Canis lupus familiaris: one gene and its partners. The protein of the gene in region 2 purifies or fractionates together with the protein of the main gene of each other region. This does not show direct contact. Links are inferred from orthologs where the notes say so. Each region holds a gene or a part of one and is shown on either strand. Other genes may lie near its edges.

The links.
Region 1: the proteins of EEF1A1 (region 2) and EEF1G purify together in Homo sapiens (affinity purification with mass spectrometry; 5 studies listed by BioGRID and IntAct, counting the BioPlex papers as one, with this or other methods). This does not show direct contact. The link is inferred for Canis lupus familiaris from reciprocal best matches to the Homo sapiens genes EEF1A1 and EEF1G.
Region 3: the proteins of EEF1A1 (region 2) and VARS1 purify together in Homo sapiens (affinity purification with mass spectrometry; 3 studies listed by BioGRID and IntAct, counting the BioPlex papers as one, with this or other methods). This does not show direct contact. The link is inferred for Canis lupus familiaris from reciprocal best matches to the Homo sapiens genes EEF1A1 and VARS1.

Annotation. Positions count from the first base shown.
Region 1 is NC_049239.1:54,579,617-54,584,003, reverse strand, and holds the start of EEF1G (elongation factor 1-gamma), read right to left. Parts: upstream 2,873-4,387; 5' UTR 2,726-2,872; coding exon 2,714-2,725; intron 1,607-2,713; coding exon 1,448-1,606; intron 737-1,447; coding exon 673-736; intron 518-672; coding exon 375-517; intron 1-374. Other genes in the region: TUT1 (speckle targeted PIP5K1A-regulated poly(A) polymerase), read right to left, coding at 3,922-4,387. UniProt on the Homo sapiens protein: Probably plays a role in anchoring the complex to other cellular components.
Region 2 is NC_049233.1:35,820,470-35,824,731, forward strand, and holds the start of EEF1A1 (elongation factor 1-alpha 1), read right to left. Parts: upstream 2,811-4,262; intron 2,696-2,810; coding exon of another isoform or gene 2,587-2,695; intron 2,524-2,586; coding exon of another isoform or gene 2,423-2,523; intron 1,877-2,422; 5' UTR 1,843-1,876; coding exon 1,699-1,842; intron 1,436-1,698; coding exon 1,256-1,435; intron 1,142-1,255; coding exon 845-1,141; intron 744-844; coding exon 593-743; intron 507-592; coding exon 250-506; intron 172-249; coding exon 1-171. Other genes in the region: uncharacterized protein LOC119874198, read left to right, coding at 2,423-2,523, 2,587-2,695, 2,811-3,141, 3,468-3,713. UniProt on the Homo sapiens protein: Translation elongation factor that catalyzes the GTP-dependent binding of aminoacyl-tRNA (aa-tRNA) to the A-site of ribosomes during the elongation phase of protein synthesis.
Region 3 is NC_049233.1:1,403,202-1,407,467, forward strand, and holds the start of VARS1 (valine--tRNA ligase), read right to left. Parts: upstream 2,873-4,266; 5' UTR 2,729-2,872; intron 2,572-2,728; 5' UTR 2,537-2,571; coding exon 2,150-2,536; intron 1,125-2,149; coding exon 990-1,124; intron 891-989; coding exon 752-890; intron 527-751; coding exon 402-526; intron 321-401; coding exon 233-320; intron 75-232; coding exon 1-74. Other genes in the region: U6 snRNA-associated Sm-like protein LSm2, read right to left, coding at 4,238-4,266. UniProt on the Homo sapiens protein: Catalyzes the attachment of valine to tRNA(Val).

The DNA of each region.
Region 1 (4,387 bases), on a different chromosome or scaffold from region 2:
GGTCAAATTTCCTCATGGTGCAGTCTGGATTAATTTCCCACTATATGACCTAGTCCTTTATCTTTGAATTTTAGAAGGAACCTTAGAAGTCACCTGATGTAACCACTCCCCTACCATTTGGGATAGCTTTTCTATAACAGAAATCTCTCCTCTGACCACTCATGACAGGCACCACCTCCAACTGGGTCTGTGTAACAAAGAACCCAGACACTATCAACAGCAGTGCTCCAAACTCATACCCCAAAGATTAGGTCTTTTATTATCCACAAATTCTTAGCATCTCCTTTTCTCAATCTATTTTATTTCTTGCTCCTTGACACTCAGGAGCTGATTTCATCCTGGGCCTTGGCTTCTCCCCAAGTTCCAAGGCTTACCTGCTTGTTGTGGTGCATGATGCCCAAGGTAGGAAACACCCAGGTACTGGCTGGGGGCACTATGTCGCTATCAGCAAAGCTCACCCACTGCACCACCTGGGCTGCTGCCTCTGGAGTATTTCCCCGCAGCTCCTCATTGCTCACTGCAGAGGCAGAACACAAAGGTCAGAACTTTGGGGTCAGGCCAACATCGATCCAAGTCCGTAAAAATTCTTCTCCTGTCCACTACAGCTCACCCTCATCCTCTCCTACCTCCTTCATTCCTGGTCTTCCCATTCCCACACCCACTGCAAATTACCATAGTAGGCAATGGCATTGCTCTCAAACACACAGAATCCATCGTCACCCTCAAATGCTGGAACCTGGGATAAAACAGTCAAAAGATAAAATTAAAAAAAAAAAAAAAAAAAAAAAAAAACGTTAGGTAAAACAATCAGGAATTACTCACCAGCCAATACTGGGATAAAGTTCTTACATAAGGCTGACAATCCTTACTAAGCAAACTACTGATATGAACTACTACAATCTGAAACTTAGGAACCAGAAATAAAATTTAAGTAACTTGGTATCCCTTACAATGTGAACTCACATGAGAAACCGCAAAGATTTAAATATTATCAACTGTTTATATAAAATCCCTCAATCAAATATGCAAAAGACCAAAAACCAAGTGTCATCTCTCTCCGTATTCTTGAAAGTATTGTGGTGCTCCCTGAACTGCATTTATCTCTTCTCTGTTTAGCATGGTTGTTTATCGACCTCGATAAGCCCTTTGGTTGGCTCATGGCAGATACTCGATATATTTGCGCTGAAAACAGCCAAAACCCATTCTCTTTCCCGCAAATACAAAGAAACTTGCGAATTTTATAACAAGCCACTGAACAGCTCTGCATCGTTTTTAACTATGTGCGAATCTTCACTTAACTCAAAGGAATTTTAAATCACTGAAATATATAAAGAGCAAATTATACAGAAAATTCCCTTTTAAAGGTGGAGACCATTTTCAGACTGAGACCATCTCAGGACTCCCTGGGTTCTCAGGACCAAAGACCCCTCTCCACTTTTCTACTCACCTTGCCGGCAGGAAATTTACGGAGAAATTCAGGGGTGCGGTTGGTTTGGCCGAAGTGGAAGTGGGGTGGTGCGGAGAGCACGCGGACCTGAGCCCCGCTGTACTGAGCAGCAATGAGAGCCTTGAAGGCCCTCCAGTTTTCAGGATATGTGTACAGGGTCTGTGGGTGAAAGGAGGGGAGGGAACGTTAATGAGCACGAGGCTCTCAGTCGGAAATGTCACTTCCAGGGATAAATTCCCGGAGTTATTCCCAATCTGTTCAACTCACTTTTACTCCCCCTGGTGAACCACGCTCTCTAGTATCTGCCATGTGTAATCAGAGTCCGCTGAAATGCCCAAGACAGAACTACACACCAACTGCTAAATAAAGCGCTGACAGGTTTGACCTTCCCTAAGGACATCCCCAGAAGCATTCTCGTCTCCTCCAATATATCGTGGAGAAACCCAGAACTCGTAGTTCCCTCAGACTCCACCTGCCGACACATTCCTCCCTTCCTAGAGCTCTGGTTCATTCATTGATGGCTAACGAGTACCTGCCTACTCTACGACTGAGCCGCTCACCCCCTTCGAAAGCATCACTCCCCGTCTGTCTCTCTCTCTCACACACACACACACACACACACACACACACACGACCATTTCCAAGTTCCCCTCCGAAAAGCCACGGAGAAATCGAATGGCATCCTCTCCTCCTAAACCAACTCGGTCTCCCCCAAGAGCCGTTCCTTCCCGTCCTGCGTCCCCTTCGTCCCTCCGGTCCTGTCCCGCAGTGAGTTCTGCCGTTGCTTCTCCTTCTGTTAACCGGCCACACGGTCTGGCTCCGCCGCCCGGAGAGCCCTCTCCCTCCCACACCTCCCCGCCGCACGACCCTTACCCGGAGACCGCCCTGCCTGCCCACAAAGACCCTCCTTTGCGCCCCGTCCCTGCTGCTCCCCCACAAAACGGTCGCAAAAGTTCTGTCAACCTGCCCGGATCCCACGTCCCGAGGCGGCAGTGAACCCGAACCCCCTTCTCAGGCCCCAGAAGACCAGGATCCGACATCTCCTGGCCGCTCTGCCCCAGACCCTTCCACCTCTTTGGCCTCCAAGAGCTCCAGCCTCAGCTCCCCGCCGGGGCCTGGAAGCCTTGCTCTCCCAACAGTACGGTCTCCAGACCCAGGACCAGTCCCTCGCTCGGCTCCAGAACTTCTCTGACGCCGGAGGGCTCCACTCGGGCAGAGGATGGCGTCGGATACCGCGACCTGGATCTCCGGAGCCGGCAAACTTACCCCGGCCGCCATGGTGATTCCGCAGAGAAAGGGGGTGGGGCGCTCGGCGCTGCCGCAAAGTAAGCCGTCGGGGAGAGGAGGGGGGAGGGGAGAGCCGCGGAGGAACAGCAGCCGCAAAGCGAGGACGGCACAGAAGGCATACGCACGACAGTTCTACACCCCGCCGCGGCTGAATTGCAGAAAGAAGGGGGTGGGGCCTGCTGGTCGTCACAGGGACAGCTCGCGCCTGCGCCACGCGACTCTTGACTGGCCCGCCCCGCAGGCGACGGAGGCCAATGGGAGTCCCGCTTGGAGGTGCGAGGCGCGGAGGGTAAACCGAGAACTAGCTGGAAAGCCTCCTCTTCCCGGCGACGTGGCACGGCTGCCAACTCCGCGCCGTGCCAGGTCCCAGGGGCGTTCCCCTCCAGCTCGGAAACCCGCGGTGACTTGACGGAGATCCTTCCAGGCCCCTAACGTCAGGACTGGGGGACTCTCACTAGGGGCGGAAACCAGTCCTGTGTGCCTAAGTACGTTTGTTCCCGCTCTGGTTTTCTACGGGAGAGGAGGATGATCTCACCGGAGCCCAAGTCAGAAACCCCTCTACCAAAGTGAGGTCTCCTCCGTTTAAACCACCCGGCGGGCTCCGGGATGCAATCGCTGCAGGTAGGGCCTTGGTGCAGGGCCTGCAGCCGGGAAGGGCCGAGGGAGAACACAGCGGATCCCTGCCTCCCGCCACCCTGCAGAGGGCTGCCAGTTCACCGATGATGGACACCCCTTTACCCACGCTCAGGTCGGACAGTGTTTTTCCCCGTTTTAATCAGAACAGGATGAACTCTGTTAAGTGAGAGAATGGACAAAGAACCCTGAACCCCGATTTCAGGCCGTCACCATATAAATCTGGGCGGTAAGGTAAAGTGGAGGCAAACTCGGTTCTTGTTCCAGGTACTGCCCAAGCCGCCCACCTGGCACTCCATCCTTCAAGAACTCTACCGAGCGGGCTCCGGGTGCAGGAACACACCACATTTAGGCCTCCCTGCAGGTGGTGATAAATGCTAAGAAGCAAATAGGCCCAGACCTATTTTAGGGTGGCCAAAAAAGGCATGTCTGAGAAGAGCAGTAGGTCTGGGGAGGGCAAGTAGTGGGTGGAAGGATTACTACCAGGTGGAAATTAGAGGAAACTCTAGTGTTTATTAAACTAGCAGCTTTATTGCCCATTAGGGTCCCTGTCTTCACTTGAGGAGGTTTCGAAGTGCTTGAGGGAGGTAAACTTGTAAGAAATGATGGAGATCAGGGAACAGGCCTTGAGAATCCTGGATTGGGGTCACGGTGAGAGTCTGGTCAGCCTGGGAGGCAGATGCCACAAAGGTCAGGAGTGGCTCAGCCTCTGGCCGCTGTGCTGCACCGGTTGGTCCTCCCAGCTCCTGGGTGACCTGAGCCTCAATCGCCAGCCATGCTGTTGTGCCAGCAGTGCCTCCACCTTTGTCCTTGGTCTGCTGCTGCAAGCGTCGCCGGGCCCGCCGCCGCCCCTGCCACACTCGGTGCCACAAGGCACAGCGCCAGCTCACTGAGGACAGCAACACTCCCTTCCCTGTCTCAGCCCAAAAACCTTCTCTGGCTGCATCAGCATCAGGGCCTTGAGGCCTCTGCTCTGCCAATGCTGCATGTCCTGGTTGTCCCTCCCCTCCAGTAGCTAGC
Region 2 (4,262 bases):
GGCAGCATCCCCAGATTTCAAGAACTTGGGACCATCTTCCAGCTTCTTTCCAGAACGACGATCTATCTTTTCCTTCAGCTCAGCAAACTTGCAGGCAATGTGAGCTGTGTGACAATCCAGCACAGGTGCATATCCAGCACTGATTTGGCCTGGATGGTTCAGGATAATCACCTTGGAGGAAAAAATTGCATTTAATACATTTCAAACAGGATCTAGCAAAGAGAACATTGCCACTCTTAAGTGTGTTACCTGAGCTGTGAAGCCAGCTGCTTCCATTGGTGGGTCATTTTTGCTGTCACCAGCCACATTGCCACGACGAACATCTTTGACAGATACGTTCTTGACATTGAAGCCCACATTGTCCCCAGGAAGAGCCTCACTCAAAGCTTCATGGTGCATTTCAACAGACTTTACTTCAGTTGTAACATTGACTGGAGCAAAGGTGACCACCATACCAGGCTTAAGAACACCAGTCTCCACTCGACCCACTGGGACAGTACCAATACCTAAAATATTTAGAAGCATCGTGTCAGATACCTTCTGTGAAGAACAATCCATAAATCGTATTTTTAAATGGCAATGTTCAACTTACCACCAATTTTGTAGACGTCTTGGAGAGGCAGACGCAAGGGCTTATCAGTTGGACGAGTTGGTGGCAGAATGCAATCCAGGGCTTCAAGCAGTGTGGTTCCGCTGGCATTCCCATCTTTACGGGTGACTTTCCATCCCTTGAACCAAGGCATCTAAAAAAACAAGATTGTCCATTAGCATTCCCCAAACTGTTGTCATTTAGTGTCAACATATGCCTCTTCTATCACTTCCTCAAAGCCTTGAAGTCACTTACGTTAGCACTTGGCTCCAGCATGTTGTCACCATTCCAACCAGAAATTGGCACAAATGCTACTGTGTCGGGGTTGTAGCCAATTTTCTTAATGTAGGTGCTGACTTCTTTAACGATTTCCTCGTATCTCTTCTGGCTGTAGGGTGGTTCAGTGGAATCCATTTTGTTAACACCAACAATTAGTTGTTTTACACCCAGTGTGTAAGCCAGAAGGGCATGCTCACGGGTCTGCCCATTCTTGGAGATACCTGCTTCAAATTCACCAACACCAGCAGCAACAATCAGGACAGCACAGTCAGCCTTTAAAAGACAAAAAGACATCCTGTTAAATAAATGTTCCTCAAAAAGATGAACTCCCCCTTTTTTCCCATACAAAACCCAAGCCTACAGTTATTTTCAAGTAATCCTACAAACCTGAGATGTGCCTGTAATCATGTTTTTGATAAAGTCTCTGTGTCCTGGGGCATCAATGATGGTCACGTAATACTTGCTGGTCTCGAATTTCCACAGGGAGATATCAATGGTGATACCACGTTCACGTTCAGCTTTCAGTTTATCCAAGACCCAGGCATACTTGAAGGAGCCTTTTCCCATCTGTAAGGATTAAGAATGGTTACTTGGTAACTTAAACACAAACTTCCAACTTGAAATCCCTAACTCCTGCTTAAGCAGAAATGCGGATTCCACTTTACAGTTAGGTAGTTCTATCTCCCAAAGTTACATAGATAAAAAACTCTTCAGCAAGCACAAACAATCTACCACAAGCAGCAGATTCTGATAGACTAGTAACTAGTTTTGGGGAAGTTGACACTGGCCGACTTTTTTTTAACGATCTCTCATTAAGTTAGTATACCAACCTCAGCAGCCTCCTTCTCAAATTTTTCGATAGTTCTTTTGTCGATCCCACCACATTTGTAGATCAGATGGCCAGTAGTGGTAGACTTGCCCGAATCTACGTGTCCAATGACGACGATGTTGATGTGAGTCTTCTCCTTTCCCATTTTGGTTTAGGTTTAGCGGTGGTTTTCACGACACCTAAATTTTAGGGTAGGAACAAACCCTTTTAACTACTGTCCCGGAGGCTTGAAAATAAGCCACGACCAAACTCGCAGAGACCAAATTCCAAGAATTACAACCAGGGCCAAGCTGGCCCAACTCTCGTCTCCACCCACCAAGCGTGGGGTTAACTCCACCGCATAAAATCCCCTCCCCCCTCCGGGGAAGGCCTGCTTGTAAGGCGTTGAGGCGGAATGGAGGTGCCAAGACGGCGTTCGGTACACCGTAGGGTCACAGGAAGCAGCGGCCTAACAGGGAAAGGCCCTTTTCCTTTGTGTGGGTGACTCACCCGCCCGCTCTCCCGGGCCGCCGCGTCCTCCATTTTGAGCTGCCTGCAGCAGGGCCGGAGAGCGGCCATCTTTCCGCGCACGCAACTGGTGCCGAGCGGGCCGGCCTCTCCGCCCGGCGTAGGACGGTACATCGCGGCGCGAGGCCCGGCACCAGAGCCGCCCGGCCCACTCCACGGGACTCTCCCGCGTCCGACGCGGCGCCCACGGCTCGTGGGCCTTCCCCGCCTCGTCGGACATGTGCGCCGGGACGAGCGGGCCTCGTCGCCGCCCTCCGCGCCTCGCGGCGGCCCCACACCCCAAGAACGCGACGACCGCGGAAAAGCCCACCCCGTTCAAGTCCTGACCAACCTCCGCTCAACCATCTCGACGGAGAAAACCATAGCGGCCTTCTTTTGGTAGGTCAAACGTCTGGAGGCTTAAACCACTGTACGAGGGCAGGCAAGAAGGTGCGGCGGAATTCGCACGCGGCCGCCACAACACCCAAGCCAGGCCTCAAACCAACCACGAGGCAAAAGGGGTCCTAAAAAAAGGCGCAAGGCCTGGAACCTTCCCACCCACTCACAATCCGAAATTCGGGGTCAAGAACATCGTAAAGTGGCTCGGTGGCGCGGCCGTTGTAAAAGGCACGCGAGGGCCGCTGGCAGCTCAAAGAGGCCAGGCCCGCGGGAGCCACACCCGGCACTCACCTGTGTTCTGGCGGCAAACCCGTTGCGAAAAAGAACGTTCAAGGCGGCTACGGCACTTATATACGGTCCTCCCCCACCCTCGGGGAAGAGGGCGGAGCCAGCACACGACACCACTTTCCCAGTTTACCCCGCGCCAACTCCATCAGGCACCGGTTCGGTCGCCATCCCCTCCCCCTACTGCTCGGGGACCGTGGGCGATGTGCGCTCAGCCCACTAAAGAGCGCACATCTCCTCGCGCATGCTCCTCTTGACCCCGATGACGGCGAGAGTGAGTGGGTGGGGAGGCGGGGACGAGCTTTCCGCTCGTTCTATGTTAGTGAGAGTTTAACGACGGTCCCTGGGATTCCCCGAGGCTGAAGCGAGTCCTCCTTTGTATGAATTACTCTCAGCTCCAGCTGAAGGGGCGGGCGGGGGGGCGAGGAGGCGGCCCTGCGGGGAAGTACTGAATCTGCCCTCTACGGTTCCTGGTTTAACTGCAAAGATGGTGTGGCGATTGGAGTACGCCTTCCCTCCGCAGTATACCTCCAGTTCTTAACCTGGTCCTCTCCAAGGTCCAGGACTGCCCCTTTGAGCCGCTTCCTCCGCTCGTCGCAGGTCCGCCCTGGGCTGGCTCCTCCCTCGCCCCTGCCTTCTCTTCCTCTCGGGGCTGGAGAGTACAAGGCCCGGGCTCCCAGGGCAGCGAGGGACCCGAGGGGCCGCCTTCACAGCCGGAGAATCCGCAAGGGTTTCAACTCGGTGGCCGTGACCCGGACGAATGTGCTCTTGGGCTAGCCTTTTGGCTTGTTCCAGTCCGAGCCCGCTGCTTTTACCGAAGCCCGAGTCACACGTTCACCCCATATGGTACTCCAGACGTCTAGTTCTTCAGTTCAGAATAGATTTCAATCCCACAGTCTGCCTTTTAACTCTAGTTTCATTACGTTATAGAAAGACCCTATGTGTGTCTACTCTCGTGGTACATTTTTTCTACAGTGTACACTCATTTGATTGCTAGCATGAGCAACCTAAAAAGAATTTTTCAAATTCAGTCTTTCCGCATGATCTCAAGTAGAAACTAAGATCTACGGCTTCAGCAAGCTTATCCACCCAATTTCCTATCCCCAACACTTGCTGCGAATCACTGCTTCTTAAAGGTGGCCTAGCCCATTTAAATAAATTAGTTCATTTTCTGTTAAATGGATTTTAACTCCATTTGAGCATAAATTTAGGGCGAAACCGGATGAGGCCTTTTTGGTTGGCAATCAGGGCAGACTGAGAAATACTTTCAAGAAGGAACTTTTATTTTTAATGAGCTAGTTACTATATCAGTATGTCTCTTCCATGTGTGGAACATCACTGCAACTCCTCCAGCCAATCTGTTAACAAATGCTTGAAACCTACTATGTGTCCAGT
Region 3 (4,266 bases), about 34 Mb from region 2:
CTGCTCCCACCATGGGTACCAGGCAGCTTCCACATACTGAGGGCTGTAGGAGTCGGGCATGGTGCCACTGACATCTGGGGGAGAGACGGGGAGGGGGCAGTGTCTGAGACTGGGAGCAGCCGGGGGGCTGTGCAAATCCTCCAAAGCCAAGTGGAAGCAAGGGCAGTGCAGGAAGGGACAATGCCAAAGACAGCAGCAGCTAAGGAGGGGGGTCCCTTCCCGCCTCTCATACCTTTCTTTTCCCCAGCTGGGGTTGGGAGGTCATATGTAATGACCCCAGGATCCCGTTTTCCCCTCTTCTCTGGTTTTGGTTTCTTCTGCTTGGGAGGGAAAAGATAGAGGCAGGGAGGTCATCCACCCACTGGGGCACCAACCTTCTAGTTTTCCCCGTAGCTTCTCACCTCCGCCGGCGGTGGCTGCTGCTGTTGTGTCTTCTGCTTCTGCTGGAATTTCTCTAGCTTCTCCCGTTTCTTTGCCTCCTTTTTGAGTTGAGAGGCCGTCTTTGGGGGTGCAGGGACCTCGGGGCCTGGACAGAGGCACAGAAACGCCAGCTTAGCCCATTGGGGATCCTCTGTGAACCATACTACTGTTTCATTCGGGCCATTCCAGCGGCCCAAGGGCTCCCCATGCTGGCCTCCCCCCCCCCCCCCCCCCCCCCACCCTCAGGGTCCTTCCCTAGCGATTCTGTCAGGAACATGAGCCCCACAGAAGGCCCAGAGGAACGCCTCCTTCCCTCCCTAACCCTCCTCACCTGGCTGTTGAGAGAGGAGTCTGGCCCCTGAGTACAGAACCACCTCTCCCAGCACTGCCCGGAATTCTGGCTGCTGGACACATGTGGTAAACCAGCGAGTCACATTACCCCAGATCCGGCGGGCAGAAGGGTCCAGGACCTGCGACGGTGAAAAGAAATAAAATATCCTTAATCACCTTAGAGTGAGGTCTGATGGGAGCTGCACGTCCCCATTCTTCTCCAGGCCCCTGTGACTCACGTAACGGAAAGGCAGGAGCAAGGCCGTGACAGCTGCCAGGTCAGCCAGTGTGGGGGCCTCCCCAGCCAGGTAGGTGTGCAGCCGAAGCCACTCTTCCAAGGGGCTCAGGGCCCTGCCCAGGGCCCCCAGGGCAGCCTATGGGGAAAGGGAAGGGGTAAGGGACTAGGCTTGGCCCACCTCATTTCCCCATCCCGTAACCCACTCAATCCACGAGTCCTTCCGCTCCCAAAAATCACCACCTCTGAGGCCAAATGGTCATAATAAAAATATTTCCATTTGTTCAACAGATTCCTGCTGCACACTTACTATGTGTCACATGAATATGTTAAGCACCAGAAGTTAAAGACTGCATGAGGCAACACAGTTATTGCCTCCAGAGGTGTTTATTAAGCACCTATACAGGCCAGGCACTTCTCTAAGGAATGTGGAGACAAGCAGACCCTGACTCGTGTTCACACTCCAGTGTTTACACTTCAGCGGGGGAGACGATAAATGCGCAAATATAGAGTACATCACCCTATTTTTCTCTGTAAGTGCTGTGAAGAAAAACAAATCAGGCTGAGGGAGATGAGGCATTCCAGAGAGGGGCCCTCTATGGTAGGCGGTGTAAGTAGGACATGAGGGAGCAAGCCAGGGTGTAAACCAGGGATTCATTGCTTTCATTCATTCATTCATTCATTCATTCATTCATTCAAAGAATACTAACGATCCACCATGTGCTCAAAACTGTGCAAGGAGGTGATGGTTCTGGAAGTGCCTCAACCTGCACTCAACCGCCTCAACCTGCTAGCGCACTCTCTGCTCTCCCTGCCTTCTCCTCCATCCCCAGCACCCCGCCACTCCTCCCTCCCTCAACCCACTAGGCAGTAACCTCCACCTCCGCTGCCTTCCACTCCTCGATTCTCCTCCCAGACTCTAGAACCCCGAGCACCAGTCGGCGCTCCGCACAGCTCTTCTCATCTCAGCGTGTTCCTCAACAGGAAAACTTCCACTTTCCAAGACGAAGACCAAGGCTATTTAAGAGACCTGCCGAGGTTATCACTGCAGATGACCACCGGGGATTTGCTCAGAGTCTCTCCACGCCTGGCCCGCGCCCTTCCGGGGCTCCTTACCCCTTCTCATCTTCTTCTTCTGCATTTCCCCTCCTCCGTCCCGCTCACCTGGGGGTCCTGGGCAGCGCTCCGGAGTCCCAAGGCGGGCAGCGTTGCTCCGCAGGCGGCCGGTATCAGCTCCGTGTCGGCGTAGCTGACCCACTGTTGGACCAGCACGGCGGCCCGGCTCCCCCCGGGGCCCCCCAGGCCCGCCGGCCACAGCAACTGGGCCACGGCGGTGGCCCCCCACACCCAGAGCCCGCCGGGCCCCCGCTCCAGGGCGGGCAGACGCGGTGGGGGGCAGGGGGTCCCGCTGGTCGGGGGCGGCTGGAGGCAGATGCGCGGGTGGGCTCCTCCCCAGCCCGGGCCCTCCCCGGCCTCCCCGTAGCGCGCGGCTATGAGGGCCCGGAGGCTGGGGAAGGCGTCGGGATGAGGGGAGACGTACAGGACGGACATGGGTACGCCGGGGTCCGAACGACGTGGAGGGAGACCTAGGGGCAGAGAGACGGGGGCGGCTGAGCGACCCGAGCAGAGGGGACCCCGCGGGGTCCCCCAGGGCCGGAGGTCCCACCCGGCCTCGGGAGCCCAGGGCCTGGCTCCACAACGGCGCGCGCCCGGGGCTGCCCCTCGGGATCCGCGGGTACGTACTGGAGAAAGGCGGTCACGCCGAGCCGGACAGCCACCTGCGGCCGGGGCCGAGGTGGGCGGCTCTCGGGGCGCCCCCGGCTCCCTGCACCGCCGCCGGCCGTGCGCGCCCACGTGTCCCCCTTTGTGACAACGAGCGTTTCCGGGCCCGCGGGTCGTGGCGCGGGCGGCCGTGCTCCGCCTGCGCGGGGGCGATGCCCGCCGACAGCCCTCGCGGCCGCGCCGCCCGCCGCGCTCCCGAGGGGCTGCACGAGGGCGCACGAGGGCGCACACGGGCGCGGGCGCGGGCGCGGGAGCGGGGAGCGCCCCGGACCCGCTCCCGTCAGGCGCCTCCGCGGGCAGCCCGCGCGGGTCCTCGAGCCAGGCCGGGCCGGGAGGGGCGGAGGGAGGGAGGGAGCGAGGGCGGCGCCCAGCGGGCAGCCCGGGAAGCGGCGGGCGGGGGCCTGGGGCGCGCAGCCTCCTCCCGAGGCCTCTCCCCCCCCGGAAGCAGGCGTCCCGCCTGCCGGCCGTCAGCTCCTTTGGTGCTGAGAACTCGTCTCTAGAGGAGACTCCTGTTTGCCAAGTGAGCCGGTTAGTTCCCAGTCCTAACTCCGCAATAAAAATATACCACTTGGGTACGCCTGGGTGGCTCAGCGGTTGAGCAGCTGCCTTTGGCTTGGGTCGTGATCCTGGAGTCCCAGGATCGAGTCCCACATCCGGCTCCCTGCATGGAGCCTTTCTCTCGCTCTCTGATGAATAAATAAATCTTTAAAAAAATATATACCACTTGCATTGATCTGTTATATTCAAAAAGAGTGTAGTGATCTGGCTGGGTTCAGGAACCAATCCAGCAGCAGCAAATGCACTTTGGTGTCTCATAAGATTAACTGTCAGGTGAACGGGACAGAGATGGAAAGGCAGCAAGTTCTCCTTGTGGGTCCAGTGCAGGAAGACCACAGTAGGCAGGCCACACGGGTGGGGGAATGTTCAAGAAACCTGGTGTAGCCCAGGTGAGGTATTATGATGTGCACCATGGAGAAGAATGACAGATAATGCTGGGAAGTTGGGCGGGATTCTTAACTGCGGTAATAAAGGAGCAGAGTTTAGATGAATTCACCCTCCGGGCCCCTTCCCAAAACACACAGAACCAGAACTCAAATGTGCATCATAAGTTTATTCCCGATGCGGGACAGATTCCTTCCATCCCCCAAATGAATCACATGCTGCCCTGGAGAGATCTAGGAGATTCTCCTGCCATATCCAGGGAAGGAGTGAGAAAGGCAGGTGCTGAGGACAAGGCAGGCTTTGCAGTTCCCTAGCCTATTATCGTCCCCTCCTCAACAGAGGAGAGCTACTCCCCACTATTAATATTCTCATCCACTCATCCCTTAAAGAAAAAGCCTCCACTCTTTAAAAACAAACAAAAAAAAGACCAAAAAAATCCCCCTCAAATATGGGAGGGAGGAATCCCAGGCTGTGACTTGAGGTGAAAGGTCACTAACAGAAGAGGGAAAGGGAAGGGAGAAGGAACCATCACTGTTTCTGCTGCAAGGCCTCCTTCC